Regions from separate parts of the Mus musculus genome. Here regions 1, 2 and 3 are each reported to be linked to region 4. The links are microRNA targets in miRTarBase. Many come from high-throughput screens and were not tested one by one. Region 4 holds a microRNA gene; each other region holds the end of a gene's coding sequence.
What was found. Region 4 holds the annotated microRNA mmu-miR-148b-3p (UCAGUGCAUCACAGAACUUUGU, at 4,414-4,435, shown strand). A microRNA usually pairs through its seed, bases 2 to 8, with sites in the 3' UTR of a target mRNA and lowers its output. Matches are read on the target gene's strand: a 7mer-m8 pairs with bases 2 to 8, a 7mer-A1 pairs with bases 2 to 7 and ends in A, and an 8mer does both.

Region 1: miRTarBase lists Itgb3 as a target of mmu-miR-148b-3p. Seed matches in the 3' UTR shown: 7mer-A1 at 2,598-2,604.
Region 2: the mRNA of Hpca is a reported target of mmu-miR-148b-3p. Seed matches in the 3' UTR shown: 7mer-m8 at 5,016-5,022.
Region 3: miRTarBase lists Ets1 as a target of mmu-miR-148b-3p. Seed matches in the 3' UTR shown: 8mer at 4,752-4,759 and 7mer-A1 at 3,600-3,606.

The regions. Positions count from the first base shown.
Region 1 is chr11:104,664,149-104,672,098 of GRCm38, reverse strand. It overlaps Itgb3 (integrin beta 3), which reads right to left. Exons shown (of 15, transcript NM_016780.2): 14 at 6,467-6,633; 15 at 1,626-5,019. The coding sequence ends at 4,954. Among named protein-coding and RNA genes, the nearest start is that of Efcab13, 23 kb to the left of the region's middle.
Region 2 is chr4:129,107,294-129,115,243 of GRCm38, forward strand. It overlaps Hpca (hippocalcin), which reads right to left. Exons shown (of 4, transcript NM_010471.4): 3 at 5,382-5,487; 4 at 4,277-5,232. The coding sequence ends at 5,135. It overlaps Tmem54 (transmembrane protein 54), which reads left to right. Exons shown (of 6, transcript NM_025452.4): 2 at 918-1,111; 3 at 3,082-3,141; 4 at 3,237-3,425; 5 at 3,520-3,654; 6 at 4,030-4,333. The coding sequence ends at 4,095. Among named protein-coding and RNA genes, the nearest start is that of Tmem54, 5.7 kb to the left of the region's middle.
Region 3 is chr9:32,752,133-32,760,082 of GRCm38, reverse strand. Ets1 (E26 avian leukemia oncogene 1, 5' domain) reads right to left here. Exons shown (of 10, transcript NM_001372534.1): 9 at 7,166-7,284; 10 at 2,263-5,870. The coding sequence ends at 5,658. Among named protein-coding and RNA genes, the nearest start is that of Gm3331, 27 kb to the left of the region's middle.
Region 4 is chr15:103,280,772-103,288,721 of GRCm38, forward strand. Mir148b (microRNA 148b) reads left to right here and starts at 4,354; the gene lies at 4,354-4,450. All of the region lies in intron 1 of Copz1 (coatomer protein complex, subunit zeta 1), which reads left to right. Gm41406 (a long non-coding RNA gene) reads right to left here. Exons shown (of 5, transcript XR_003951562.1): 4 at 7,236-7,473; 5 at 5,591-5,929.

The DNA.
Region 1 (7,950 bases), not on the chromosome of region 4:
AAAATAAAATATAATAAAAAAATTACCATGTCAAAGTTGGACAAGACAAACCAACTGAAGGAAAAGAGCCCAAGAGAAGGCACAAGAATCAGAGGCGCAGTTATTCACACACTCAGAAGTCCCATAGAACACTAACCTGAATGCTGTGATATACATGCAGAGCGTCTGGTGTGGACCCATACAGCCCCATCCACGCTGCTTCTGTCTCTGAGACTTCATAGGAGTTTAGTTCATACTGATTTAGAGGGTCTTGTCTCCTCAGTGTCCTCCATCCCCTCTGGCTCCTACACTCTGTCAGCCTTCTCTTCCATGGGGTCCCTGAGCTCTGGACGGGGGAGGGGAGATTTGATGGTGATACCTAACCACTTAAATGTGCCAGCTGAGTGTTCAAGGAACCTATTTAGTGTGTGTGTGTGTGTGTGTGTGTGTGTGTGTGTGTGTATGTGTGTGTGTGTAAAATGTATGGCTGTGGGTCTCTGCATTTATTATTCAATCCTTACATGATACATGACAACATTTTGTATACATGACAGTGGTCTCATGAGATTGTAAGAGAGCTGAATTTTCATATCACTAGGTGTTATCATAGCTATCAAAAATGCTTGTTATTCATATGTAAATGTGTTGCTGCCAAAGTACAACACATCGGTTGTGTACAGTACAGAATACTTGACAATAGCTCTGTTGCCGCTTATGTATTTACCGTGCTATGTTCCAAACATTATTTTAGTGTATACTTTTTCTTCAAGGTTTCCTGTGAAAAGGTATGTCCTTCTCCCTGGCAGCAGCCTCTTCTACCTTTGGTTTCCCGTGTCTCGGGACTGTATTAAGAGGCCTTGGGAAGTGTCTCACTTGCACTCCCCAGATTTGTGTACCCACACACACCTACAGCAGCAGGACTACTCGACAGTTCTCAGGACATATGGTTGTGGTTCTGAGACTTGTCAGTTTTCATTTCTTTGTGAGGGTGTATGTGTATGTGTGCGTGTGTGTGTTTCTATCTGACTGTGTCTGTGTGTATATACGTATGTATGCAGGTTCCCTCGGGAGCCTGAATGGATTCCCTAGACCTGGAGTTGAAGGTAGCTGGGAACTGAACTCCACACCTCTGAAAGAGCAGAAAGCACTCTTGAGTACCGAGCTATCTCTCCAGCCTCTCAACTGCATTTAAAAAACAAAAAACAAAAACAAAAACAAAACTTTCTAGGTGATACTATAATTTACCACTAGCCATTTTAAGTAGAAGTTTGGCATGTAAACGGCCCTGCAAGTCATTTGTCACTGAGATTTTACTCGTGATCCCTACAGGCAAAACCTGGACTATATTGACGACGTGTTCTACTTTGTTTGCAAAAGATCCTAAATAACCCCCAATTTAAAATAATAATAATAATAATAATAATAATAATAATAATAATAAAGCCTTAGAAAGTAGTAACCTGCTCATTTTGAAAATAGCAAAGCTCTGGACTCAGAAGCCAGCTCCAGCTCCCACAGCAGGCACCATCCTGTTACATCCGGAAGCTTGCTTTTACTATACAGTTGTCCCTTTGGAAGGAAGCAGTGACACTCTTTGCACCCAGCAAAAACAGATCTAACAACATGGGGTAGTCTCAGGCCAGTTCTTTTGGAAAGCACATTTAATTCTCTGTTACACAACTCAGAGGAGGTGGGGAGGGTGTCAGGAAGGCGCGTAAGCAATTTCAACCAAAAATGGACAAAGACTCTGATGTTGCTGTGGGCAGCTTCAGAATGACTGTCTCTGAGGGAAAGAACGGGAACAGAGCTACCTGCCAGGCATTCTCTGTCTCTTCCTGTTGTCCTCAGACAGAGACTGGACCGAAACCACCTGTAAGAGAACGGGCCCAGCCGCTCTGTGCTGCGCATTCATTCCCAGCACAATTTTAGATGTTCATCCCCTGGAAACCACTCAGACTGTTCCTCAGCCTCCGGAGAGAACAGCTACAGATATGCCCGAGTCCTGACCGGCGTTGCCGCCCAAGCACCACAAGCCTCATTCCAGAAACCGTCAAGATTCCTACTCACCTTTCACTCTTCTAATACATTTTCTTCCTTCCCTGCTAGTTTCCTCATCTAAACAGTCTTCTCTAAAGAAAACCCCACTCTACTCTCACGGACTCTGCCTCAGTAGCTAAAGGATGGATCTCTGACCATCTTCCCTGTCCCTCTACTGTACTCCCACCACCTAAGCCAAGAGTAACCCAAGGGCACAACCGGACAGTCGCTGGCTTTCTCCTGTACTCGAGGCCTGCTCACCACACCAACATCTGGATCAGCCACTCCTTACTGAAGGTCCTCCCTGGTATGCAGATGCAACTGTATGCAGAGTGAACAAGAAAGAACAAGTTGGATAAAAACTAAGTGCTACATCAGATGCACCCACTAACAAAAGATGAAGGGAGTCTGAGAAGGAATGAGACTCGCTGAGACAAGTTCTAAGAATAGCATCTGCTCTCGTGAAAGCCAAGGCATTCAGTCTGGAAACTGAAAGACAAACAGGAGCAACACCACCTCTCCCCCCACAAAACACACACACACACACACACACACACACACACACACACACACACACGTTTTCAGTGCTGGGAATCAAACCCAGGACATTCCTTAACTGCTTGTTCTACTACTGGTCAACATTCCAGCCTCCTTATACACACACAGAATCTGGACCGCAGGCTTGATACCGTATTTACTCTCGGCATCTTAGGATGTTGATACTAAAGCTGGGAATACAGATCAGTTGGTAATGTTCTTGCCTAGCATGTGTGATGTCCTGGGTTCTATTCCCAGCACTGCATAAGCCAGGCAGGATAACTCATGCCTGTAATTGTAGCACCTGAGAAGTGTAGAAAAAGGATCAGAAGTTCAAGTCAACCTTGGCTACATAGCAAGTTCAAAGCCATCCTGGGATACATGAGACCCTGTCTTTCAGAAAAAAAGAATAGTGACACTTGAAATAGACTTTCCAAGTTACCAAATCCAAAAGAATATTGAACTCCAGAGGGGTGGGGGAAATGGCTTTTCTGAATTAACTTTCAGGTGTTTTGACAGCGATCCCGAGGCCAGGACTCAGGTCTCAGATCATCAAGATGCTGTTTATAGGCCTCTTGTCTCTGGGTGGTAAGCACTGATTTTTAACATTAGATCTAAGTCAATGCCAGCAGAGCAAACCATGCTTGCTGGGCCAACAGAACCCAGAACCCAGTCGAGAAACCTCTTCAAGAAAGGGTCAGTGTGTCCACATACCCATCTTCACATGCTTCCAGGAAGAGGGAAGCCCCTTGCAGACCCAGCCACTGACTGGCAAGTTACTAAGAATGTTTGCCACACACTCTGTGTGGGGTTTTTTATGCTCTCCTTTGTCATCATACAAAATTATAAATATAATAATGCAAGTATGTTTATATACGTGCTCCTCTAGAGTGATCGGGCCTCATCATAGTTTTGGGTGTCCCCATAGGGAATAAAATAAAATTGCACTTGTGGCCTCCCAGATTAAAGGCTGAGATAAAATGAGGTTGTCCAGCCCACAGGAGAACAGGCCACACATGCAGTTCTGACTGGCCTTTCAACTCCTCCCTGGCACGTTGTTCAACAGACTCATGGGAGACTCGGGGGACTCCTTCACAAGACACCGAAGAGGTAGATACACACAAGCACCCCCATGGATGGGTGTAGCAAGCACACAGAGGCATAGGATGAGGTGTGTGGAGGTGCCCGGAAAGAGGAGCAGAAAGCCTGGAGAGTGGGGATGGACCTCCAGCTCTGACCACTGCACTCTCCCCTGAGGAGAAAGCATCTGACCATGAGAGAGAGCCTCAGCCCATAGCATCTGACCATGAGAGAGAGCCTCAGCCCATAGCATCTGACAATGTCAGAGAGCCTCAGCCCATAGCATCTGACCATGACAGAGAGCCTCAGCCCATAGCATCTGACCATGACAGAGAGCCTCAGCACATAGCATCTGACCATGAGAGAGAGCCTCAGCCCATAGCATCTGACCATGAGAGAGAGCCTCAGCCCATAGCATCTGACCATGAGAGAGAGTCTCAGCACATAGCACAAGTCTGTGGCCATCAGGGTGTAGAAGCAGGAGGTAAGAGATGGTGTTGACACAATGACACATGTTCACAAATCTCCTGGGAAGAGCTACCAATGAGGCAATTCTGAATGGCTGTGATTATGATCTTGGAGGTGCTGGCACACCCCCCAGGCCATGCATGACCCCTGAGTGGCCTTGCCATCCTCACCCTTAACAGGCCAAAGAGCCAGGTGACAAGGACTTTCCTTATGAGAGAGAGAGCCATAGCAGGACTGAGGTGCTGGCAAAAGCCACAGGCAACTCTTGAGGACTCGATTCTCCCCTAACTCCACCATCAGCCTGAGGAAGGGAGGGAGGTGGGCAGAGGCACAGACGATACAGCTGAGCTTCAACGTCAAGCACTTTCTACCACAGCTGTTGACAGTCAGCCCCAAGAACCGGAAAATTACAAAGTTGGTATAGAACCAAGACTTGACACCACTTCCTCTGGAATGGGGGTTGGGGAACCTCAGCCCTGCCCTTCTCTTCTGGGAGAATGGCCTGACAAAGCAAGCTAGCTTCTCAGAGGTAATGAGCACCTGCCGGGCATCATGAGTCCCCCTCAAGCTAAGCAGGAAGAATCCTTTGGGGAGGGCCCCTGAGGACAAAGGCTGTGGAGCTCTGCCTGTGAGACACATCACAAGTTTTAAATTACACATTTCCCCACACTCGTCACACACATAAGTACACACAGAGAGATACATTCCCACATACTGACATTCTTCCAGCCCAGCCCAACCCACGCCCCAAATCCCACCCATACACCCACACACCCACACACACACAAATGTCCTCTGTAAACATAATGGCAGAGAGTCCCACGGTCCTGGCGTCATCTGAAGATGGTCTCATTAAGTCCCCCGGTAGGTGATATTGGTGAAGGTGGAGGTGGCCTCTTTATACAGCGGGTTGTTTGCCTGCAGAGGGAAGAGAGGAGAAACGGTGGTCAGCTCCATGCACTTCCTTACCCCAAACGGTTAAACGTCATCTCAGAAATCAGCCAATGTTTACATTTACTCATCAACTCTTAGGATGGGAATAGATAGGAGAGAAGGAGGGGAGAGGGATGCTGTATTGCTGGTCTGCCACTGTTTCTAAGGGTTTTTAATTCAGTCACTTTGGGTGGAAGAATATTTGTCAGTCCCAGACTAGTATACTGTTTGCCCTGCCTCTCCCGTTTCTTCTTCTGTCCCTACTCTTTCTTTCCCTTCATTAAGGCAGTGCCCGCGATGGGAGCCAGAAGGGAAAATGTAGCAGGTGAGGTCAGAACACAGAGCCCGGCTTTTGCTGAAATTATTCCTAACTTGTTTTTATCTCATCTCTCGGGCCAGTTGCTACCCACAGACCTGTTGTGTGCCTTCACCAGGTTTCCCAAATTACTTCCTAACAAAAAGTAAATGAATCCCCCTTAATGGTAGTCAAGAAATTTAGAACATCCCCTCCATGTCAAGAAATCTAGAGAAGTTCCTCAGCGGCTCAAACGCTGTACATTCTTGGCCTGTCTAGGAAAAATAAAGTGAAGTTGGACTTAAAATTAAATAAACAGTTCTCAAAGAAAAATGCTCATCCGACGACGGACTAGCGAGCTGGCAGAGCGGGCAGAGCGGGCAGAGGCGGTTGCTGCCGGGCCTGATGCAGCTGACACTGGTCCTCAGAACCCACGTGGGAGGCAAACCTGACTCCTGCAGACTGTCCCCTGACCTCTGAAAACACACCATGGCCATACACACATGCATGGGGCTTTTGTTGTTTAGATGCTCGTTTGATTGGATTAAATCAGGTTAAACAGCATTCTGGGGTCTCCAGAGGATCCTGGTTTGCAAGCTACCACCTCTCATTTGAAGGAAAAGAGAAAAATGAGGTAAACAGATGTAAGGCCATGACATCTAAGAGGCTGACTCCGAAAGTACTTCCTGTATTGCCCCATCCCTTCCTTTGTCAGGCAAGCTGCTTTACTTCTCTGCCCTCAGTTTCCTTAACTATAGGATCCGAATGATAATATTGTCCATCAAAAGGGCTGTTACGGAGATAAAGTGTCAGAAGCATTTAGCCCTCAGGAGACGTTCTCTGCTATGTCACTTTCTGTACAGTGTGTTACATGTCCCTGATACAGATTTGCCCTGTCCCCTCAACTGGAGAATTAAGCTTCTCCCTTTGTCATAGTATCCCGTGTGAGCTCAGTGATCAGGACATGTGGTCACTGTAAGGTAGAGGACTGGGAGGCCTCATAGCACATACAGATAAAAGAACAGTCAAAACATTTCCCAGTTTCGAGGCTGGCTGACCACTGAGCATCTCCTGCCCCAACCTCGGGTTCATGAACCAAAGACTCCGGAGAACTCAAAGCTCAGCACAGCCACTCACTGTGTCCCACTTGGCTCTGGCTCGTTCTTCCTCAAATTTAGCAAATTCCTTCCGGTCATGGATAGTGATGAGTAGCTTCCAGATGAGCAGAGTAGCAAGGCCAATGAGCAGGATGGCCCCCATCACTGACAGCAGGACCACCAGGATATCAGGACCCTTGGGACACTCTGGGAGGCAGAGACGGAGAGCAGGAATCACCAGAGACTCCCAGGAATGAAATCGGAACAGAGGGATTCAGAGTTGAAGATGGGACCATCAGAAACAGTAAGTTCGTCGCTTTTTAAAAAGGACAATCTTTAGGACAGCAGTCATCTGCCCTGGGTACCCTAAATCGGGGTTCTCCGGCTGAACCTAACCCATTCAGTGTGGAGGGATGGCTCCGAAGCTGAGAACACACGTTGCTATTGCACAGGGCCCAGGTTAAATTCCCAGCATCCTCATGGTGGCTCAGACCCATCTATAGCTCCAGATCACCTGACTCCCCCTCTTCCAACCACCACTGGCACCCAGCCATGAATATGCTACACACATATCCAGTGAGGCAAGTTGCTCTTAAATATAAATCTCAAAAACAAAATTTTTTAAATAAAAAATCGATTTGGGGAGTAACTAAGCCTAGTGGTGAACATCTTGCTATTTTTCATGAAGCCTGGGCTCTATCCCTATCATTACACACACAGACACTCATACACGCACACACATGCACACGCATGCACACACATGTACACACGCACGCACTCACACACGCACACCTACACCTGCTAACACACACAGACATTCAAACACACACACACACACACACACACACACCCCTACACCTGCTAATCCTGGAACTTACATTCCTGTAGAGCAGCCACTGGCTAGCAGTGGGAGCAGCTAGCTCTTTTATATTCAGAACATTAGTGTTCTGCTTACCAGAGTCCTCTCCCCAGTGTCCCCTAAGCACAGGCAGAGTGTGGCTTGACCTTGGGTCTGTGCCACTGGACATTCAGGAGCCAAGACTGTCTGGGTTTGAATACTGGCTTTAATGCTTACACTGCTTATCTGGCCTTCAATAAACTAACTTTTCTAAGTGTCTATTTCCTGTTTCTCCATCTTTAAAATGGACAAAGCCTTCACAGGCAAAACCTTGTGATGAGGAATGACAGAGCTAAATAGATTTAAAGAGCTCAGAACAGTGCCTGGCACAAAGCTGACTCCTCGATAAACACCAGCCACCATCGTCACTGGTGGTGTCTCATACCTAGCCTTGTCATTTATTGTCCCGTCGACATGTGCATCTCTTGCCCTGGTTCAGATGTTTAAAACCCTGAGAGCTGTAAACTCAACAGCCCTTCTCCACATCCATGGGGACCAGGAAGCCTGCCAGCCAAGATAATGTAGTAATCTAAAATCATAACCCTACTGGAGGCTGACCTCTTTGTTTCTACCCAGCCAATAACCAAAGCAGACAGGAGCTGTGATATTTATCCACCAGCCAGCTG
Region 2 (7,950 bases), not on the chromosome of region 4:
TCTTGGCCTCCTTGGCCCCTGCAATTGCCCAGAGAATGTCCACTTAATGATTCTTTAGCCGTTTCTTGTTTTCATTCACGTATAGGGAACAGGGCTAAATTTCTCTGCCGCACGTGGAGGGTCTCAAAGTCAGAGCCTATTGGGAGCAGGACCGGAAGGAAGGGCTCTGCTTAACTGAGGGCCAACCACACTCTTGCAGTTTCTCAGAGCTGGCTAAACTCAGAGCCCAGGGTGGGGGCAGGCATCCAGGTGGCATGGCCAAGAGCCATGTGTGATGTTGGAGCAGAGAGCATTTCAGGGGAGGAGGGCTTCCTGCTATGTGAACGGGATAGGACTTGGCCACTCAGAAAGTGTGGTTGTTGCCAAAGTCCCTCCTGGTCCCAACCCCAGTTAAGCACAGCCTGCACTGGGTCCCCGATTTCCTGTTCACCCATGGACTTTGTCCACACTGAGAAACAAGGGCTCTTTTCCTCTCCAGGAAGAGAAGCAGAGTCTAGACGGCTCTCGATAGCTCCACTTAGCAGCTGCACATTAAGTACTGTGTGTGCCAGGCTCCATCTACCGAACTGACTGCTGAGCAAGGCCTGACTCCTGCCCAGTGCACTGCAGGCTCCTCGGGGCCTGGACAGTATATACTGGGCTCACGGCTCTCCTAGTGCATGGCATGGGACAGGTGTACAGAGCGCTTTTATATATGGAGCAGTTGAGTGGATGACTGGGTGGCTGGGAGACTCAGTGATCACTGCTACTCAGAACACAAGAGTTAACAAGGACAGTTGTGTGGATCTCCTGTGCGTTTTTCCAATTTCACACTAAGCACCAACCGTGAAGCTTTTAGAGAAACAGGGGAGGCTCAGATGTCCTACACCACCCAGCAGGAGGCGCCTCACCCCGATCCCGACCTGTGTCCCCCGCAGGTAGCCTGAATGTGGATGAGTTCCGGAAGGTGCTGATGAAGACGGGTCTGGTGCTGGTTGTGCTGGGTCACGTGAGCTTCATTGCAGCCGCCGTGCTCCATGGTACCATGCTTCGCTTCGTAGCCACCACCAGTGACGCTGTGGTTCTACAGTACTGCGCAGTGGACATCCTCTCTGTCACCTCTGCCATTGTGGTAATGGCCTGGCTGGGAGGGCCAGCAAGGGGGAGGGGCTGCGTCCCAGTCAGAGCCCCAAGCATATACGGTATAACCATATACAAACTGTGCAGGCACTCAAACGCTCTCTGCCTCAGTTTTGTCCTCTGTAAAATGGGGGTGGCGAGAGTATGTGTGCACAGCAGAGGTTCCCTGTGAACATCTGAGGGAGTCATCCACAGAAGGTGCTTAAGCGAGGGGCCTGGCACATGGCCAGTGTGACAGATATTCACGGTGCGGTGGTACCTCAGCTTAGCTAGGGAGGGTCAATGAGGGTTTCATGGAGGAGTAGACCTCTGAGCTGGGTATTTATGGATGTGTAGGCGTTCCCAATGGACTGTAATTAACAACCCAAGTATGCGGCGTGCTGGGGCTGGCTAGCAGAAAGGCATGCCAGGGTGGCATTCCATGTACAGGCTGTGTGGCAGGTGCAGATGTGTGGAGCTGGGAACGGCTGAGATCTGTGCTGAAGACACTGACTCAAACAGTCAGACAGGAGTTTAGCACTAGGGCAGACTACATGAGCCACTTGATATAAGCCGTAGTCATTGTGATACTGGGACATCTTTGTTTGATGAATGAATAAATGAAAGAGTCTGGTGTACTTAGGTGTACAAAAGCTCTTCTCTGCCGGTCAGCTAAGGTGGTTGTAGACTTGTTCATCTCTGGGAGACCTGCTGACTCCTGACAGAGGGACTTTTCTCTCTCTGAGCTGGTCTCTGCCTCTGACAGCCTGGTGGCCTCCAGGCCTGGTGAACCAGGCTCTGATCTGTGGAAGTTCCAACGGCAGGAAGAATGCAGGGCTATGTGCCAATCAGTATCTGTTTTGCTCAACAGCCATTTGAGGAGGGCATGGAAGGTGGCCAGCCCAGGGTCAGAGGGCTCTGGGGCTGGAACACTTCACCTTTCCCCAGTAAAACACTCCCAGCTGCCCATGACTGGGGGAATCACTCCACTCCCTTGGATGTGGTTATCTTCCTGTGAGCGCATCCTACAGAGAGGGGCTCAGCCCTGAGAAGTTGAGGTAATTTCTTGTGGCTGCAGAGTAAATTAACACTACCACTATACCCCCAGTGGTACTGTGTCCACTACAGAGATCGACACTAGGAAGGCGGATAGGCTAAATGGAGCCCTAGGGATCTAGAGGTCAGCCACTGAGCTGAATAGTGTGCAGGAAATCCTGTCTCTGGGGATGTAGGGGCATTAGGACTGAGGAGCAGGGCGCCTTGGAAAGGATAATCTGCGAGTGTGCATGAGGTCCAGTGAAATGAGGGAAGACAGTGGTCCAGGACAGACCAGAGAAGGCCAGGATTAGGTCGTTAAGAGCCTGGGATAATTTGATGCTCTTAGAGGTCTCTTTGTTTTTTGTGGTACTTAGGATTGAACCCCGGCTTCACACATGCCAGGCAACTATTCTACTCCCAAGCCCCATCCTTGGCCACCTCTTAAAGATTCTGAATTCTGCTTATGATGTGTCCTGTCTGTCTAAGATGGGGCCTCACTACATAGTCCTGGCTGGAAAAGAACCTTTTATGTAAACCAGGCTGGCTTTAAACTTGCAGCAATCCACCTGCCTCAGTGCTGGGAGTGTAGGCATTTGCCACCATGCCTGGTTTCTGATTTATATCATTTTGGTTTTAGTACCTTGTTAGTAGAATGCATTTCTTCCAGTCTTTTCCATCCTAAGGAGATATGCTGTGGGTCCTGGGGCCTAGCACACTCCCGGGCTTATGCCCGAAAACTTAGGACACACAGGACCCTGTCGGACTCAACAGCTTTAGGCAGTGCGGAGCCCTGGAAGGCCGTAGGGAGTGGGAGTTTATGAGGCCAAAGCCAGAGGCCAGGGTGGGAGTGGAGACTGCAGAACCGTGGAAGACGTTGGGGGGATGTGACCCCACGAGCTGCCCTCCAGCACCGGCTGATCCCAGCTGATTCCAGCCTCCCCACAGGTCATTGTTGCAGGAATTTCGACCATCGTCTTGTCACGCTACCTCCCCAGCACCCCCTTGGTATGTGGCATTTCCTCTGATGGGACTGTGGGCTGGGCCAGCAGCCCTCTTGGGGCCAAGAGTGATATCCACTGACCAGTGCTCTTTCTGCCTAGCGCTGGACCGTGTTTAGCTTGAGTGTGGCCTGTGCTCTTCTCTCTCTGACCTGTGCCCTTGGACTCCTGGCCTCCATTGCAGTGACCTTCGCCACCAAGGGTAGAGCACTATTGGCGGCCTGTACTTTTGAGAACCCTGAACTCCCAACACTGGCACCTGACTGTCCTTTTGACCCTACTCGAATTTATGTGAGTGCCTCGTCCTGGAAAGGGTTGGGAAGGACTCTTGGGTCTACCTGTACCCCTTTCCCTAATTAGATGCTTTTGCCCCTGGACCCCTCAGAGCTCTAGCCTGTGCCTCTGGGCCATCTCTCTCATATTCTGTCTGGCGGAGAGTATGTCTGCCGTGCGCTGCGCCCAGCTCATGCATGGACTACTGGAACTAAGGCCCTGGTGGGGGAAGAGCTGCCACCACACGGTAAGTCACCACCCCCACCCCCCATAGTCCTGGGAGGCCCCTGGATGGTCAGCCTCACCCCTTCTGAACAGGGCCTCACATAACTGGAGCAAAAGTTTTCTCAGCACTACCAAAGGGCTCCAAAGTCCAGAGAGGCCGGATGTGCCAGCTAAGTCACACAGCTGATGTCTGGCTCTCCTAATCTTGAGGAGAAGCACTGGTCTTTGGGGATTATACAGGAGACAGTTGGGGGAGGAGTGGGTTCTGGCCTGTCATGAATGACTGATAGTGCTGTCCTCCCCTGTGCCCCAGAAGCCCTTCCTTCTTCCAATTTGAGGGTGTCCTGAAGATAGAGACCCCAGGCAGAGGGAAACAACCAAGTTCCTGTGTCTGCAGATACAAGCAAGCCCAGAGCCCCTGGATGCTCATGACCTATTGAGCTGCGCCAGTTCTTGCAGCTGACCCTCTGACACTTCAGCAGCGCCATGGCTACTGAGGCACGTGACCACACCTGTATTGACCCGTGCCCAACCAGCCATGGAAGTTTAGTGGGATCCAGGATTCCTAGAGCACGCCCATGAAAAGTCAATGGACTACTGGGGACGTGGGAGAGGGCTTTGAGCGCCCTCCCCTGGCCACCGAGTACAATGCACTGAAACAAGACTTTATTTTGAAGTTATTAAAAAGAACCAAGATGCTCCGTGTGGCTGCATGCAGAGGGACATGGGGCTTGGCCGGGGGCCTGCGCTTCCTTCCCACACAGAATGCTGTGGAGGGGCTCTGCCCATCTGTCTGTGGGCCTCTGTGTGTGTGTGTGTGTGTGTGTGTGTGTGTGTGTGTGTGTGTGTGTTTGCGTGAGTGCACGAGAGAGAGAGGTGAAATACAGAGTACAGACGGGGTAAATCTGTGGTTATCTAAGTGCAAAGAGGCAGGTTGAGTTTGGGGACCCCCAGTTGGAATCCTGGGAGTTTTGTTTTGTTTTACCATGGCCTCCAGCCAGCAAGAGCTGGGACAAGAAGTGTTCTTCTGCAGGGAAGTAGATCAGGGAACTTCTTCAAAGCCCCACAGCCCAGAAATCATCCGTGGCTCCCCACCAAACAAAAAGACTCTTCACCTTGGCATGACTCCCCACCTCCCTCCAGGCTGAGGACCACCCAAAGGGGACCTACCCGCCCCCCTGCCCCCGTGTTGTGGAAGATCCTCCTGACTGTGGGTGGGTGTAAGATGATCCAGCTGTCTCACTAAAGAATACAGAACCTGACCGGAGGGCTATCTCGGTCCCACTAAGGGAGATTCTGCCTCTTGGGCCGTGGAGACTAACAGCTGTCTTGCTTAGCCCCTTCCTTGCAGGTTTCACTTCTCCAGAGGCCCACACACACACACAGTGCAGACCCCAGAAAGGGATCCCCAGTCTGGCCCCCAGCCTGGATAGACACGAGGGAGAGGAAGCTGAGAGCCGGAGGGCCGGTGAAGGCAGGGAGGCGAGCTGGCTCCTCTCAGCTCAGAACTGGGAGGCGCTGCTGGGATCACACTGCAGCAGGCGCACGATGGATGGGTCGCTTTTGGCTCCGCGGATGAACTCCTCCAGCGACAGCTTGCCTGCAGGGCAAAGGGAGGGCTGTAAATGAGGAGAAGGTGGCTGCGAAGCCAGGCAGGTGGCTCAGGAGAGGGAAGGAGGAAGGCTGCCCACCCTCCTCCACCCCTATCACTCCCCCCCAATCTCCCCCCCCCCCCCCCCCGCCACTCACCGTCATTGTTTGTGTCCATTTGGCGGAAGATTTTCTCAGTCCTCTTTTCCGGGGTCGACTCATCCTCGGGCATTTTCATCACGGACGAAACCATCTTGTAAATGGCCTGTGGGATGGAGGATCGGGAGGGGGAGAGGACATCAGGGAGTAAAGGAGGGCTGGGTTAAGCTCCCATCCTGCGCGCTGTCTCTTATAAACATCCCAGGGTCCTGCTCTGCTGGTCATGGAGGAGGGAGTAAGGAAAAGTCTGGAGAGGCTGAAGAGTGCCCTGGGCTAAGGCCCTTAGAGGGCCGGCCAGGTGGGAATTGCTGATGGAGCTGATGAACAAAGCCACTACTACCTGAAAGCTTCAGGTGGGTGTCAAGCATTTGGGGTGCACTGAGTCAAGGGAGATGTTGGAGGACCTCCAAGCCCAGATAGCAAAGTGCCTAGAACGCCAAATGTAGGCACTTGCTCCTCGGGTATATGTTTGAGCCGAAGGGTTGAGTTAGCGCTCCCACTCGGTAACCGACAGGGGGCGCTGAGCTGAAGGACATGGCACTGTGGTCTGCGGCCGGCAGGGGGCTCAGAGCAGCCTCGAGGCAGCTGGGACCTAGAAGGGGCGGGAACATTATGCAAACCAATGCAAATGAGCACCTGCCACGGGTCCAGGGACAGCCTGAGCTCTGCATGGCTGAGGGCGGCAGCTGCCACGTGTAGGAGCTCCAGAGGCAACACGAAGGAGAGTTGCTGAGCTATTGTACAGAGCACGGAGTGCTCGGTCTGTGGGACGGGCTGCTTCTGCTCCCTGGAGCTCAAAGGCCAGACTAGTCACTTCGAACCTCCAATTTTTTTCACAGCGATGCCTCCTCCAAGAAGCCTCCTTTCGTCCCCCCTCCCACCCTCTTCTTGTCCACCTTTGTCTCTGCGCTGCTCTTTTCTGGCCTCTTTCCTTCAGATCTGTCCCACACACTGCTTCAGAAGGCTCTAAACACAAACCCCCACTACCACATCCCCAAACCAGCAGGCCGCCCCCTTATTTCCTGCACACACAGACCTCCTTCTAGGCCCACCGAGCACCAGTTCCCTCTGGATGCCGCCGCCCACTTCTTGGCTGTTCCGTGTACAATGCCTTTCCTAGCAAGGTCGTCTGTGATCCAGCACTGGGTCAGGACATGTCAGCTGCACAGAGCCTCCAGGGTGGACACCTCTCAGGAAGTAATTATTTCCCTGGAGGACTGTACCTGCTTGCTACCATTCAGATGAGAACAGTAACTCTGGCTCTTTCTAAAAGTCCCCAAATCCCAGTACAGTGCTTTGGCACATGGCAGGGAACTCCCTGTTGAAAGGCCACTGTCACCACCCACAACTGTCTGTACCAAGTCCAAACCGTTTGCTTTTGGCATTCAGGATACATCAGAAGCTGTCCACTGCTGGCCTCACCGTCACCAGGCCTTGCTCGCTGGAGGGGTGATTCTGCCACAACTGCACACCCCTGGGCCTTTCCAGTTCCTCAACGTTGACAGCCACTGCCTGAGCTACCATGTATCATGCAAGCACTATGGGCCAGATCCTACGAGCAGAGAGACAAGGTTTCCCTCTGTAGCTTTGGCTATCCTGGAACTCACTCTGTAGACCAGGCTGGTCTCGAACTCAGAGATCTCCTGCCTCTGCCTCCCGAGTGCTGGGATTAAAGGTGTGCACCTCAGTACCTGGCACACATGCAGGATTTCTAAACTGTACATCAACTCAAAAAAAAAAAGCATGCATCGAGTCTCCCCTTTCTGGTTTGGGAAGGGAAGGGGTGGAAGGCACCAGCTCAGAGCTTGCTCCCTCTGAGCTGTGAATACAGTGGTTCCCAACCTTCCTAATGCTGCAACCCTTTAATACAGTTCCTCATAGTGTAATGACCCCCTAACTACACAATCACTTTTGCTGCTACTCCATAATTCTAATTTTGCTACTGTTGTGAATGGCAATATAAATATCTGTTATGCGGGGTATATGACATGGGAACCCCTGTGAAACTGTCATTCAACCCCCAAAGGGGTGGTGACCCACAGGTTGAGAGTCGATTGATGTATGCTTGGACAATTTGGAAGAATAAACAGCAGGAGCTCTGGAGTGACATCCTGGTCCATTCTGCATTTGCTCGCTCTCTCTCTCTCCTTGGAAAAGAGCTTAACCACTGTGAACCTCAGTTGCTATCTGTAAAATGGGAGTGCTGCGTCTATCTCATTGGGACTGTCTGGAGGATTACAGTGGCTGGCGTAAGTGGTCACTATATAACAGCTTATACTGTCATTATTCATCGACTGTGTCTTCAGGCTTTTCGGTCCTCTGGACTCCTAGGTGTTCCCTTTATATACCAGTCCCTGACCTCATTGGTGCAATCTGTGCCTTAATCTCTCCTGTTGGAGTGGGAGCTCCATGAAGCAGCTTCCTCTTTCCTCCTACTGTGCCATCACCCGGTGTAATAAGGCTGAGAAGGGAACAGTGACTTATCGGATGGCCATTCCCCCTGTGACAACCCTCCTAATTAATCGTCTGGGTCCCTCTCAGAGTCTCGCTGGAGCCTACTTGTCATTAA
Region 3 (7,950 bases), not on the chromosome of region 4:
GATGGCTCTCTGGCGAGCCCGGTGACCTTTTGTACTCCCTTCCACTAGCGTTTCTTGACTCCAATAAGCTTCATGTTAAATAAACATGAACTAAGGAGAGATATATGTAAGAGCTGCAGACTCACATTCTACAGGGAACAGGCAAACATGTAAATGAATGAATGGGGCTGGCCCACTGGGGATGAAATAGAGTCTTATTCATCCAGGAGAGAGCTTATTCAGTGTCATGGCATATGTCAGGAGGTTACTCATTTGGGCCATGTAAGTGGGTTCCATACTCTGAAGGACAATCGAATCATCTCAGAGAAGGAATGTTGTTTTGTTACCACTATCTTCCATGGTCTCTCCCTCATTTCCCCCCAAACACAGACCACAATCTCTCTTTAGGTTAAAAGAATTACAGTCCACTATGTTGAAAAGCTTTGTCATGGTGTGGATATGATTTGAACCTAACATCCCAGTGTGCTGGTGCAGCCTCTTGGAGATAGATGGAGGCTGGTGGAAAGTGGTTAGGACAGGACATGACCTCAAAGGGGATTCATGCTGGTTTTGAAAACGGCTTAGTTCTCTTGAGAGTTATTATAAAAATACCAAGCCTGACCCCTAATCGCTGTGGCTCCCTATCTCATCAGGGAAGGTCTCTGTCTACACCCACCCAACACCATGCCCCCACCATCAGGTCCTCAACAGAGGTCATATACATAGGGCCACTAAGTTTGGACTTTGGGCTCCAAAACTCTGTGCCAAAGAAAATGCTTTTCTCTGCTACTTACCTCAGTTATGTTCTGATAGCTACAGAAAACTGATCCGCACGTATCCGCTTATCAGCTCAGAGATGGAAGCATGGTCAGAAGTTTGGGGAATTGGATATAATTTCATGGCTACAAGGATTCAAACCACTTGGCACATCTTACTTGTTACCTTCTGAAAGCATGTGAAGTCTGTGCATGCCCACCTTCTCTTAAGTGACTCCTGTCAATAGTAGCTCTTACCTTACCCCACCCATCCTTCTCAACTCCTGCAATGGTTGCTATATTACTGCCTTTCCCTCCACAATGGCTTCCATACAGTGGCTTATTGGTGTCATTAAGAGAGCACCAAAGCCCAACTGCCTGAAAATAACCCACTGGATCTGTGGCTTCTGGATGCAGAGAGAAGGGACTAAGCTGACTTCACTCACATGTGCCTTGTGCTGTTTACTGTGGTCTCCGTGTAGTCAGATATCCTGAGAGATAACGTCAACTTGGATCAGTTTTTGTCCAAAGCTTTGACTGAAGCTGCAACCCATTTGAATAGTTTATGCAGGGTTAGAGGATCTCAGATGTGGCTTCTGGTTGGCTTGGGAGTAGGGGCTTTGCCCAGGTTTGCAGCTGAGAAGGACAAAATCTGAGGACCTCACCTCGACAACAAAAAAAATCTGTCCAGGAGTAGTGGTGGCTTTACCAGATACCCAAGACCAAAGCCACTCTCCTGGCCAGCTGGGCTCTGACCACTAGACCACACAGTCCGTGTTTAAAGTGTGCTCAGCAAACCTCAAGTTCCAGGGCTGAAGAAACAGATTTTCCAAAAACACAGTTCTCTTTGTGAACAATTCAGCAAAAATTCTCTTTCCAGCTGTGAGTTGGGATTCATGTTGCAAATGTTGGTGTTAATTAAAAACATCCACCTTCTACAGTTTCAACTAGAAAAAAAAAACCCGCATACAGAATGCAGCCCTAAGCATTCCTGTCCCAAAACACTTGGAAGTATGTATTCTATTCATGACATAGGCTGGAGTGGTTCTAACAGATAGTATCCTTCTTCGTGCCTAGCCCCAGTGGAAAAGTTGAGGCCAAAGAGATGGATGTGATGAGTTCTAACTGCCAAAGAGCACAGCTTTCTTCAGAAGAAACCAAACATCATGGTCTGTCTATATGAACATCAGGAACTGGACCTAGCTGGACTCCATCAGTGACTACCCGTTGAGTCGTCAGTTTTTTTCTTCACATGGTTCTTGGTCCTTCAGACATGAACAGTGATGTTTGACAAGGAAGGTGGGGGCAACAGCACAGGTGGAAACAAACAATGCAGGGAATCACTGGGACAGGAATCCTGTGTCCCTATACCTCTAACCCTTTATTAGGCAACCTTTATCTAGAATGACCCTAAGCCGCAGGATCTGGAGAACTGCCCTGTATTTCTTCTGTGCTTTTCTCTGGTTGATTGATTTCTCCTAATTCTCCCACGACGTAGACAGGAAAGAATCAAGCCAGAGCCACCTCATTATGAATGAATTTCTTTGTTTCTTTAATTTCACACAGTTTAAAATACAATATGAAATCAGCCTACAGTATATAAAAAATTTTCCAGCAAAATGATGTGCCAGCATCAGCTACTTAAATGAAACAAACCAAAAACTCCCCCATAAGAATTTTTTGCATTTGTTTTTAAAAAAAAAACAAAAAACATTTAAGACACTTACATCGCTACATCTCTAAGCTACCTCAGTTCTGATTTTTAAAAAGCACCTGCTTTTCCTTTTTAAATCTTGCTTTTAAATTTTCAGCATTTAAAAAATATAAATTATATGAAAATACAAGTTGGAAAAAGTCAAACACAATATAACATCTTTTTCACCTCAATAATTCTCAGCTTTAAAAAAAAAAGTATCCTTAAAAAAAATTCAATAACTGAGGCAGTATTCCTGATAGAGATAAATTCACTTTAACATATATACTTCATATATGTATTTGTATACATATACTTGTGGTTCCTTGAAACGTCTTTGGAATGTACGTAAGAGTTCAACAGGTTTATATAGACCCCAACAGAGAAGGCCGCATGCACAGCATGGCTAGGAGAGAGAAGGTGTGATTTCACCATGAAGGTTAATGCTTTAAAACCCAGAGTGCTGGTCTCCAAAGTGAGGAAGAGCATCTCTGATCCTGAATGCTTACAAGGTCTCCATGGCCACACCATCAGAGCTCTCCGCAGGGAGCATCCTTAGCCCCGCCTCTGAGCCCAAAGCCAGCCACACAGGTTAAAGCATTTCTCTGGGAAAATGATGGAGTCGCCCAGCTAGGTCAGATCTGTTCATCCTTCCTGTGAAGTGAACGTGTTTTAAAAGAGCATCAATGCAGCAATGCTGCTACATTTCCAGTGTATAAACCACCCGCCACTCTTCCTGGGATGGTCTCTGGCCTTCGGAGGAGATGGGGGAAAGCATCTGGCCAGATGGACAACAAAGCTGTCTGACTAATATACTATCTACAAATCCTGAAAAGTGGTGGACCTAGGGAGAAAGGGCATCAAGGCAGGCAAGTCAGCACGCTGAGGAGTGTGGGAGACACTTTCTTATGTCTTCTCTGCTAGGGGACTGCAGGTGGTAGGCTCTCAGGAGGGGCATTCCCAGCAGGAACCCAATATGGAGAAGGGTGAAGACTTGGGGAAGTGATTTTTTTAAGCCCTGTTGCAAAGAGCAAACAACAATACCAGCCCCGGCTGTACTCTTTCATTCACCATTATGGAAATGTGAACAGACTCTAAGTAGAAAATTCAGTACTATTTCAGCTGCAACTTTATACAAATGTACACACACACACACACACACACTCACACTGTCAGTGCCCAACAAAGATCACATAACATAAGAGAAAACAGCATAATCCAAATGATCCCACCTAACACTCCCTGAGCAGCTCCTAAATATTTTGAGAGCTTCATTAAGGCACCTGCATTTGTAAGATCAAAATATATAGCTGGAATGTTTGGCCTTTGCTTCCTTGTGGGGATGCTCCACTCAGTCAGTACAGAACACCCACGGACAAGAGTTATAGTCTTAGTAATTCAGAGTCTTCAAGGGAATGTGGGAGTCAGCCATCAACTCTCCTGGAAGATGATACCAGGGAGCTACAAACCCCGAAGGGTGAGCCTGGAGAGGCCCACCTCAGCCAATTGCCTCTCTTCTCTCAGGGATGTCACTGTCACTGTCTTAACTAGGCAGCTATACAGTGGAAGGGATTCTAATGATCCCAGGCATGTCTCCTTACTTTTTTTTTTAACCCACAATGGCTTATTTTCAGGTCTCCTCTCCCATCAGGCAGGATGATGGCTGCCTCAATTAAGTCTGAGTTTAAACTTGGAGGAAACTAAACATCTATCTAACTGTCTCGGGCCACCTTATTTTCCTTACCTAAGCGCCTTCCCTTGTATTTTCTCCGTCTCCCTCTCACCGCAGTTGACCTGGGCTTGCCCTCTGCTGAGGTGGTAACAGGTCAAGTGCCAGTGCTCCCTGCCACTTCCCGGCAAGCAGTCTCACCTGAAATCCTACCTGACGAGCACCAAGTCTTCAAAGGAGGCCGAGTCACATGCTACTGAAATACCCTCTCCACTGCCGTGGCCTCCGAGCCCTAGCAAGTCTGGACTCTTGGATTTGTGTTGTGATGGCTGAAACTACACTTTCAGTCACGTGTCAGGATGCATTACACTCCACTTTCACTGATCAGTGATGAGGGAGGGGCAGCAATGAGGGATGCCGGGGGGAACATAAGACAAAGTAGAGGAGAACTGAGAATGTTAGTTTGGAATGGCATGCATTGAGGCCTTAAGACCCTCGGGGTAATGCCCATGCAAACGGCTTTTATTCTGAGTCTTCCATGTTTCGGGTAGCGGTTTAACCAAAACCCAGGTTAATCCTGCTCCTTGGATTTCGTTTCCAAGACTTGAACTGTGCTATGATGCCGACGATTCCATAGAAGAGCTGCAGAATACATTCAGTGCAGAGACTTAACGCCCCGTAACTAACACTAAGTCCAAAGCCTGACAGTGAATCAAAGGAAAACAGTTTTTACAAACCGCAGGTGGAAGTCACACGCACAGTCCCCCTGTCCCCAGATCAGCATTCGTTTCCTTTAGCTGTAAGAGTTTGGGGTCTCTGATCTCAGTACAGAACTGGGATTTTTCCAATGGGGTCTATATAAACAGTTGTCTTTCACTGTGACAAGAGTCCTCAGCCAGCAAATAACAACAAACTCACAATACTGCAATACTGAGACCACCTTAGAGCTTAAGACGATATTTTTTTAAGGAAAAAAAAATACTGGCACAAAATTTAATAAAATAAACTTCAACATAAAAACAGTTTTGGACCCCTTCAATCAAAGTCCATCATTGTTTCAAAAAGTAGAAAGGTTAATAATTCTTGAGTTTAGTAATCCCCTGAAGAAACTGTTTTCAGCCCACCCACAAAACTGACTGGCTTTCATCAATCTCTTTCATCTCAATGTGATCATTCCTCCCACTAGTAGATCCACAACTCAAGATGAATTTTTTTTTCTTTGATTTAAAAAAAAAAAAAAAAAAAACGGACACTTAAGTTTTTTTTTCCTCTGCAAGCCAGGTCCAACAGGCTTCTGAGAAGACCTCTCCCTTCTGAAAGTCTGCTCAGGAGCTATTGCCCCGCCCACCCCGCAGGTCCTGACCTCCTCTTTCCGGCCCACCAATGGCCAATGGAATACAGCGGCGCTCCCTCAGCTCCCACCCCTGAATGTGAAAAATGAGTTCTGGAAAATAAAACATTGAATAACAATTAAAAATGAAGAGTCCAACCAACAGGGTTGCTCTTTGAAAGGTCTCAGCAGGGTTCCCCCAGCCCCTTCCTTCTGCGCGTCTGTCCATGACTAGTCAGCATCCGGCTTTACATCCAGCATGGCGTGCAGCTCTTCAGGGGTGTATCCCAGCAGGCTCTGCAGGTCGCACACAAAGCGGTATACGTAGCGCTTGCCCGCCGTCTTGTGGATGATATTTTTGTCATAATAGTAGCGAAGGCCACGGCTCAGTTTCTCATAATTCATCTTAGGTTTGTTTTTCCTCTTTCCCCATCTCCTGGCCACCTGTAATAAAAATAAAATTAAATACAAGTGTCTATACAAGTCTTCACATCCATCATGGTGGTCAAACAAACATCATGTGTGTGTGTGTGTGTGTGTGTGTGTGTGTGTGTGTGTGTGTGTGTGTGTGTGCATATGTCTGACTTATTCCTTCATTTCCTTTTTTAAAAAATATTTTGAATTGTTTATAATAACTATACATTGAATGTATAGTTAGGAGCCATGGACATTCTGAGATTATTTCAAAAGATGTAGGCAGAACAATGCAACATTTTAATACAGCTGTGCATTGTGTCGTGATCAGACCAGGCTAAATGGCATGTCTTCAATCACAGGCATTTCCCATTACTTTCTGGGGACCATGCAAAATAACCCACATTAGCGATTCTGAAATACCTGCTAATGTTCTGTAGGCACCCTACAGTACCACAGAGATTCCAGAGTTGCCAATTCCTGTACCTGCATTCTTGGGCTCATTAACCAGGGTCTCCCCAACCCCTTAGCCTCCTCCTGGCCATGCTCAGATACGTCACTCTTTTATCCTCTGTGTCTGTGGAATCAGCAATTCAGTGTCTACATGTAAGCGAGAATATGTGCTGTCTTTCTGAGCCCAGAGTATTCCTCTCAATAGGACAATGTCCCTATCCCATACATGTGACTGCAATAGAACTTCTAATTTCAAGTGTCCAAGTGTTGAGTTCCATTTACTTGTTCAAACAGTGACTCTGAACTCCTCTGGAATACAGTTAAAACACTTGGTCTTGAAGGAAAAGGAAGAGCCGTGGGGCAGACATCCCTCTGGCCCACATTATAAGCAGGCATCCTTAAAATGAAAGCACAGAACTGGGCAGAAGGGAGAGGATGGGAGGAGAGCGCTGGCACCTCTGCTTCCACCAGTAGGAAGCATCCTTTCTGGACCAGGGTAGAGACACGTTCTCATGTCTGCCAGAAGAGAGATCTCTTCGTTCATATACCAACCATTTATTCAACACTCTGGGATGAAAGGATGGAAAACGATCAGAGTGGATGCATCTTTCCAGATGCACAGAGCCAGGGACTAGACAGAGGGCAGGACCAACTCTGTACCAGGAACTTATATATACATCAGTTTGTCCCAGAAAGTGTACACACTTTGGGCTCTGCCAATGATGAGACAGAAGCTCGGGCTGGCTGCATCATAGGTCGCACACGCAGCAAGCAGCAGAGCTGAGCTAGAAATCTGGGCCTACAGGATCACAATCCCAGCATTTTCTCTCGCCCATTCTCAGCCCAGGACTCCCAAGTCACTCATTACATACCTCATCTGGGTCAGAAAGCTTGAATTCCCAGCCATCTCCTGTCCAGCTGATAAAGGACTGACAAGACTTATCAGTGAGTAATTCCAGAAGAAACTGCCACAGCTGGATCGGCCCACTTCCTGGAAGCACAAGGCACAGTGGCTCATTAACAAAACACACTGAAGGCTCACAGCAGCTAGGCCCACTAGGCAGCAACCCTCACCAGCCTCCCAGCCTGTCTAGACAGGCGAAAACTCAGGCAAGCGACAGCACAAACACTGGAGTCAGTACTCTGCGTTCAGAGAAAGTAAAGATTTCCCTTCCAAAAGAAAAAGGAAATCACACAGGATGATACACCATGTGTCTGTTTTTATTAATTTCCAGGTTGGTCTCTTTTAATTGCTGTGCTCTTTTAATTCCAGAGTTTTCTGGAAAGACAACACCAAGTCTATCTTCACACGTGTTCTACGGAATTACTAATCTTGTTTGTTTGTTTGTTTGTTTGTTCTGAGATGACTCACTACAGAGAACTGGCTGGCCCGGAACTTGTAGACCAGGTTGGCCTAAAACTCAGAGATCCACCTGCCTATGTCTCCCTGGTGCCAAAGGAGTTTAGTCTCTCCTCAGCACACATAAGCTTTGTGAAGTAAAGGAGCCAGCTCTTCCTTACCACAATGAGAATATACCTCCAGCTCTGTGAAGCCATCTTGCAAAACACATTGTGAAAATAAAAGCACTCAGCAAGTGCCTTCTAAGCAAACGACCTAGAGGGCTGTAAAGCCTTCACTCCCGTCACATCTACCCAT
Region 4 (7,950 bases):
TGCTTTTATAGAGAACCCAGGTTTGGTTCCTAGCATCCACAGGAGATCATACATGTAAAATAAATTCTCTAATTCATACATGTAAAATAAATGTTTTACAATTTAAAAAAATACAATTAAAAAGGGAAAGAAAGAAAAGCAAAGACCTGGTACTCTACATTGCCTAAGAGCTTGAGGCTTGTTAACTTGTACAATTTGGTCACCAAAGCTGGAGGCCACCGAAAGCTGGAGGTTTATGGTGCTGACCCTTACTCCCCCTGCTGGCTGTGTGAGATCCTTGGCCATATTAACTTACAAAGGCCACATATTTTTATTGAAGTTGTTAACTGACTGAAGGCAGAAAATCATTCATTTCCTCTTCACATTCAAAAGACTGTTTGGCTTTTTTGAACAGGGTCTCACTATGTAGCTGTGGCTGGCCCAGATCTCACTACGTCTACCAGTGTGTCCTTAGACTGACAGAGATCAGTCTGCTTCTGCCTCCCAAGGGTTGGGACTAAAGATGTTGGCCACCAAACCGGGCTCTTCACATAATCTTATCTTCAGAGGATTGAATTTTAAACCTAGTTCAGTCTCACCTGTGTGGTGTGGGTGTTTGTTTGTTTTTTGGGGACAAAGTTCAGAAATTTTTATCAGCTTATCACAAGGGTCTGCTGTAATTTTTTTTTTTTTAAAAAAGGCCATAACCCTAGCTAATCTAGGTCCAGCCTTTCACTTCTCCTATGAGGAAGTTGAGTATCAGAGAAAGGGAGGGGAAATTTTGAGTTAATAACTTACCCAGAATTCAGAGATGCCAGCTCCTTCAACTAGCAGAAGTTTTGCCCCATGCTTGGACTCTCCATGTTTCCTATCTGTATGTCTGTATGGGGTAGGAAGATGTGTGTGTGTGCATGCATGCGTGTGCAGATATAATGAATGTGTGTGCATATGTGTGGAGGGTGGAGGCTAACCTCGGGTGCTATTTCTCCTCAGCAGCCAGCCATGTAGTTGGTTTTTGTTCATTTGTTTTGTGTTTTGTTGTTGTTATTGTTTTGAGAGAAGGTTTCTCTGTGTAGCCCTGGCTGTCCTAGAACTGGCTGTATAGACCAGGATGGCCAGAGATCCACCTACCACTCACTGCCTAGCTGAGTTGTTATTGTTGATTACCTTTTTGATTTGGCTGGCTGGCTGGCTAAAAGGGATCTTTGCTACCCTGACAGTGCATGTGATTAAATGCACAAGTACTTCCACCAGCTGAACTATCACTCCAGTTTTGGGGTTTTTTTTTTTTTTTTTTTGGTTTGTTTGTTTGTAGACAGAGGCTTGTGAACTTACGTAGCTGATGATCTTGAACTTTGAGTCTTCAAACCTCTGCCTCTTGACTGCTAGGGTTACAGACTGTGATGCCATGTCTGTTTTTAAGTAATACTAAGGATTGAACCCAGGGCCTCATGCATGCTAGGGAAATACTATAACAGAACCATAGTCTCAGTTCCTAAGAAGATTCTTCCTACTGTGACTTTCTGCCATCAGTACCTCCAGAATATGTGTTTAGTTTCCCCTCTACAACCGAAATTTGGTTTCATATAAGATAGATAATTTCTCCAGGACCCATGGGTCTTTTTAAGATAGGGTCTCATTATATAGCCCCAGCAGGCCTGGAACCCTTTATGTAGACTAGACTGGCCCTGAACTTTCAGAGAGCACCCTTTTTCTACCTCTTCAGTGCTACGATTAAGATTTGTGGAGGAGCTAGAGAAAGTATCCAAGGAGCTAAAGAGATCTGCAACCCTATCGGAGGAACAACATTATGAACTAACCAGTACTCCGGAGCTCTTGACTCTAGCTGCATATGTATCAAAAGATGGCCTAGTCGGCCATCACTGGAAAGAGAGGCCCATTGGTCAGGCAAACGTTATATGCCCCAGTACAGGGGAATGCCAGGGCCAAAAAATGGGAATGGGTGGGTAGGGGAGTTGGGGGGAGGGGGGACTTTTGGGATAGCATTGGAAATGTAATTGAAGAAAATACGTAATAAAAAAAAAAAGAAAAGAAAAAAAAAGATTTGTGCAGCCGGGTGTGGTGGCGCACGCCTTTAATCCCAGCACTCAGGAGGCAGAGGCAGGCGGATTTCTGAGTTCGAGGCCAGCCTGGTCTACAAAGTGAGTTCCAGGACAGCCAGGGCTATACAGAGAAACCCTGTCTCCAAAAAAAAAAGAAAACCAAAAAAAAAAAAAAAAAAAAAAAATGTGTGCAGCTATGCTTGCCTCATGGGTCTTACTTTCTGGGCTTCTTGTTGTTTTGGTTTTTAATGTGTCCCTATGTGTGAATGCCACTTGTGTGTGAGTGCCTGTGGAGGCCAGAAGAGGGTGTCAGATCCCCTGGAATTGAGAGTCACAGACAGTTATAAGCTGTCTGATGTGGATGCTGGGAACCAAACTCCAGACCTGCAAGAGCAGTAAGCACTCTTAACTGTTGGTCCATGTCCTCAGCCCTGTGAGTTTTTCTTTCTTTCTTTTTTTAATGTGTTTATTATTTTGTTTGTGGCACAGTCTAAAGCATATTCTGAGCACAGAATCCACCCCTGAAGCCCCTCAGCTGTGTTTCCCAAATCTAAATGCTATCCTTGTCAAAACTTAGCTAAATCTTCTTTTCATCTGAACTATGTAGGCTTCTGTAGTAAATTAGAGCTCTCAAACTCAGCATACCTTTTAATTTTAAAAAATTTTAACTCAGGGTTAGGTAACAGAATACCTGCATAGCCCTGTGGTGCTGGGAGTGGTATCTAGGAATTTCTCCTTCTAATTTTGTTTTGCTTTTGAGACAAGGTCCCACTCTATCCTAGGCTGGCCTAGAACTCACTATGTGGTCCAGATTGGCCTCTCAACTCCTGCTCATCCTTCTAAGTGCTTGGGTTACAGGTGTGTGTACTACGAAGGGCTCTCTTAGTTTTAACTCTCTAGGTTTCTTTTTTTTTTTTTAGATTTATTTATTTATTATATGTGTGTACACTGTAGCTGTCTTCAGACACTCCAGAAGAGGGCATCTGATTTTTGTTACGGATGGTTGCGAGCCACCATGTGTTTGCTGGGATTTGAACTCAGAACCTTTGGAAGAGCAGTCGGTGCTCTTAACCACTGAGCCATCTCACCAGCCATTTCATTTTATAAGCAGGATTGAAAGACCATCTTGTTACAGTTTTTAATTAATAGATCTATTGCTAAGCCCAAGAATTTTACTGTATCCCAAGAATATCTTTGTAAGTAGGGAACACAGATCTTTCCAGGAATCTCAGCCATATTGTTTTGTTTGTTTGTATGTATGTATGCATGCATGCATGCATGCATGCATGCATGTGTATATATATATATATTTTTTTTTTCGGTTCAGTTTTATTTTATATATACAAGTGTTTTGTCTTTATGCATATATGGGCACCGTGTGCATGCAGTACCTTCAGAGGCCAGAAGAGGGTGTCAGAACTCCCTGGAACTGGGAGCTGGGATCTGAACCTGAGTCCTCTGCAAGAGCAGCAAACGCTCTTAACCTCTGAGCTGTTTCTTTGGATTCTTAGGCCTTTTGGTTTTGTGACCTAAGAGACTTAAATAGTTACTTGTAGTTCTAAAATATCCTGTCTCTCTGCTCTATGTAGACACTGTTCCTCCAAGCTTTTTGATCTCATACAGTGATCTTACCCAACTATTCACTTACTATCCCATATATATTAGTTAAGCCAATAGACTTAATTCCGTAGTTTGGTTTGTATTTGTTTTGAGACAAGGTCATTTGTCCCAGCCTGTCCTAGAATTTGACAAGCTGCTGAGGATGACCGTGAACTTCTGATCCTCCTGCATGTAGGGTTACAAGCATGTGTCACTACCGTTAGCTTTCCGTGTTTTCTTTTACAAACCTGTTTGTATTAGTTTTATTTAAAATGCAAAATACATACAAATCGAGTTTGGTGGGGGTTTGTTTTGTGTGTGGATTAAGCACAAGGTCTCACACCTTAGGTGAGCACTCTGCCCAAACAGCTTAGGCCCCAAACCATTGCCTTTCTGGCACTGTTTGCTTGGGCTGTAATCCTGAGGAAGCTGTGTGTCAGGCAGGAGGTCCACAGAGGGCAGCACTGGGAAGGAATCTTCTTCCTCTAGCCTTCCCAGTATAGGCCTTGGTGCTCCAGACTTGATGTTCCCACCAGGTTTCTGGAGACTCTGATGGAGATCAGAGAGTTAGTTGCAGCAGCCTAGGTGCTTTCTGCATGACGTTTCAGCTGTCCCAAAGACAGCTTTCTAGTTTTCTTGATAATAAAAGCAGACACGAAAATCTATCCCTGCCACTCCTCCTCCCACAGCCAGTCTGCCTACCCACCACTTACAGGCACCCTTAGCATTTGAGGTGAAGTTCTGTTATACACTCAGGCTGTGGCTCTGAAAGTCAGTGCATCACAGAACTTTGTCTCGAAAGCTTTCTAGCAGCTGCCCATTTGGGGAGTGAGAGGGAAGAATAGATCTTTTCAGTCCTTTGAATATGGTCCTAAGATTGTAGGGTCTTTTTCAAGAGTCAGTATTTAATGCATCACAAGGTCAAAGCCCAGTCCCATTGTCCAGGAAGCTCATTTCTTAGCACCTGGGAGTTATTTATAACATGTCCTTTGCAAAGCTTAGAATGAAGTTACATTATTAGTAATGGCTTCTAGAGCCTTTAAACTGGCTGGTTTTCTGATATGAAGGGAATTCTCAGGCTTCCCCACTCCTGAGAGGTAAAGGCATAGGGTGGAGTGGGGCCAGCTACAACAGAAGTGAGGAGAGCTGGCTCTACTACAGCATGATGGTGATGCCTTTAAGTGGCATTCTGTCTCCTGCCGAATACCCCAGCTTTCCTTGTTGTGGGTCTTCCTTTGCAAGTTTGAAACGGTCAGGCTTTGTTCTGCCTTCCCTCTTTTTCCAGAACTCCAGTGCCTGAAAGCTGGTCTGGTCTCTCCTTTCTCCCTTAACCTGTCTTTTATCTTGCTCAGGAAGACCCAGTGTTTCTGTTTTAAGGTTTCTTTGATCATATCTTCTAGGCAACCAGTGAAAGAGTCAGGAGCAGAATCCTGGGTTGTATTCTGTTGTTAGCATGGCTGTGTAGGTGCTTAGACATTGCTGGCCACAAGAACACTGGCTCTCCCACTTGGCAGGTTGCCATTAGGGATTTTGGCTTCTGTGAGGGTGGGGGTGTGTGCTCCCATTCCTTCCAGGAATACCAGACTCTGGCTGCAACAACAGTCACCAATGCCAGATTAAGGTCCAGTTGCAACTTGTGGGCAGCTAGCCCTGTGTGGTTGCTGTGAGTGTGGATGAAGGGGCACAACCATTTCCTTCTGTTAGGATTTTTTTTTTCCCATTAAGAAAACTCGTTCCCATTGAGGGCTCCATTTTGGTACTTGAACAGCCAAGTGGCTGTAGAACAGAGCCTGCTCTGTGGGGTGATCTTTCTGTATGGAGCTAGGAGTTAGTAGAACAACTTCTGTTGGTGGCTCTTAGACTATACTTGAGAAGACTTCCCTATGCCAGACAGCACAGTTCCCCAGTTGCAGAGGAAATGCTCTTGTCCTTTATTCCAGAGAGCAGTGTGGCTAGGGTGGCAGTTTTCAGTGTGTCAGAGGAGAGGGTGGGTTGGCAATAATATCATCGTAGAACAATCTCACTACAAAATCCACTTAGATGCAAAATCCAGTTATAATAAATCATCGTGCTGAGAGATTTCTTTTTAAACTTTATTCTCAACTTTGAACAAATATTGAGAGCTCGGGATTCGCCAGGCATTGCTCTGTGCACTTGAGATGAATTAATGAACAAAATACAAAAATTGGTGAATGTCTTGGTTTGTTTCTTTTTGTTTTTTGAGACAGGACCTCATCAAAAATTACCATCATTAGGAATTCAAATCATATGCACATGAAGACACACACCTGTAATTAGGAAGTAGTAGGTGGATTAGCTTTAAGGTTATACTTGACTGTACACTGGGACTACATAGCATAGCCTACCTGATAAAAAAAGTAAGTGGGGAAAACGAAGCTTACGTTTCTTTTTGTTTGTTTGTTGTTTTTGTTTTCAAGACAGGGTTTCTCTGTATAGCCTTGGCTGTCCTGGAACTCACCCTGTAGACCAGGCTGGCCTCGAACTCAGAAACCCACCTGTCTCTGCCTCCCAAGCGCTGGGATTAAAGGCGTGCGCCACCACTGTCCGGCTCAAAGCTTACATTTCTTAGGTCATTTTCTTTCTTTTTTTTTTTTTTCTTTTGAGACAATAATTACATGTATAGCCCTGGCTGTCCTGGGACTCGCTTTGTAGCCTTGAACTCAGAGATCTGCCTGCCTCTGCCTCCCAAGTTCTGAGCCAGAACTGCTGGGCTCTTATACCATTTTCAAAAGACTGGGTTAGTGAGCTGGAGAAATAGGCCAGCAGTTAAGAGTCCTGGCTTCTGTCTAGTGGTGATGGCACATACCTTTAATCACAGTGACTTCCGGTACAAAGCCAGTCAAATCTCTGAGTTTAGGCCAGCTTGGTCTACATAGAGAGTTTCAGTACATAGAGAGTTTCAGTACAGCCACAGCTATACAGAGAAATAGAACACTGGCTTTTAAGCAGGGTCTGGTGGTATACATCTTTAATACCAGCAGTAGCAAAGCAAAAGGCAGGCAACCTTGAGTTGAGTTCAAGTTGAGTTGAGTTCAAGGACAACCTGGTCTACACAGTGAGTTCCAGGATAGCCAGAGTTTCATAGTAAGACCCTGTGTACAAAACAAAACACAACAAAACAAGAACAACCAAACAACCCAGCACTACCAACAAAATCCACTGGTTTCTCTTCTAGAAGACCCAGGTTCAAATCCTAGCATCCACGTGGCATCTTTAATTCCAGTTTTAAGGGATTCTGACACCCTCTCTGGCCTCCAAGGGCACCAGTCATGCAAGTGGTACACAAGTTTACATGTAGACAAAACAACCATACACATGGGGGGCGGGGAGTGATCACTTTGGAAGCAGTCTTGAGGGTTCAAGGCCAGCTGGGCTACATATTGAGAGCCCTTATCTAGATAGATAGATAGATAGATAGATAGATAGATAGATAGATAGATAGATAGATAGATAGATAGATAGATGAATGAATGTGAAAAAAAGAAAAGGAAAGCCTGGGTTAATACCCACTTCTCTTGAGCTAAGGTTGCTTCTTTTTTATGAAGCCCCACCTCTCCAGGAGCCTCACTTTACCTCTGTCAGGCTGCAGTCTCTGGATCCTTTGCAGTAATTCTTTCTTCTGCCTCATGTCTTTGTTAAACTTATATTTTTGAAGATGGGTGAGTTTTCTAAGACCAGGAGAGCAAAGCAGATAGATAGTCTTGCCTTGGACCAGAGGTAGTGAGAAGTAGTCTTGGTGAGACCTCAAATTCTGTGAGTGGCGGAGGCCTGCTGTGCACAATGCCAGCTGCTCTCACTTTCCTTTTTCCTTCTGAAAGTTGTGAGAATAGAGAAGAGAACACCAGGCTCAATAGCTTTTCCTAAGTCATCTGTTTGCAATTGAAGAAAGGTGTTAAAGTGTAACCATTACAGCTAAGTTGTGATGGCTTCATGAGAGCCAGTATCAGCAAGTCTGTGTCATTCTGGGGTTTTGTTCTGTTTTACAGGGACCCAGGGCTCCCTGCACACAAACATGCCCCATGGCACTGAGTACTTAGTTCCATTCTTGGTAGTGGAAGAAAACTCCCCTTGTTATTTTAGCTACCTCTCAGACTCCGGACGTCTCAAATATTTTTCTGTTTGCCACACTTAAGATTCAGGTTGATTTTTATCCTATCCGATTAAGTCGTGAGGGTTCATATATATCGAGGAAGGGTTTCATATGTGAACTTTTGGATGATGTCTGTCTTAGAACCAGTGTGTGTGAATGCACAGTCCTGCTCTGTGTGTGGATGGCTTAGAGTGGCTT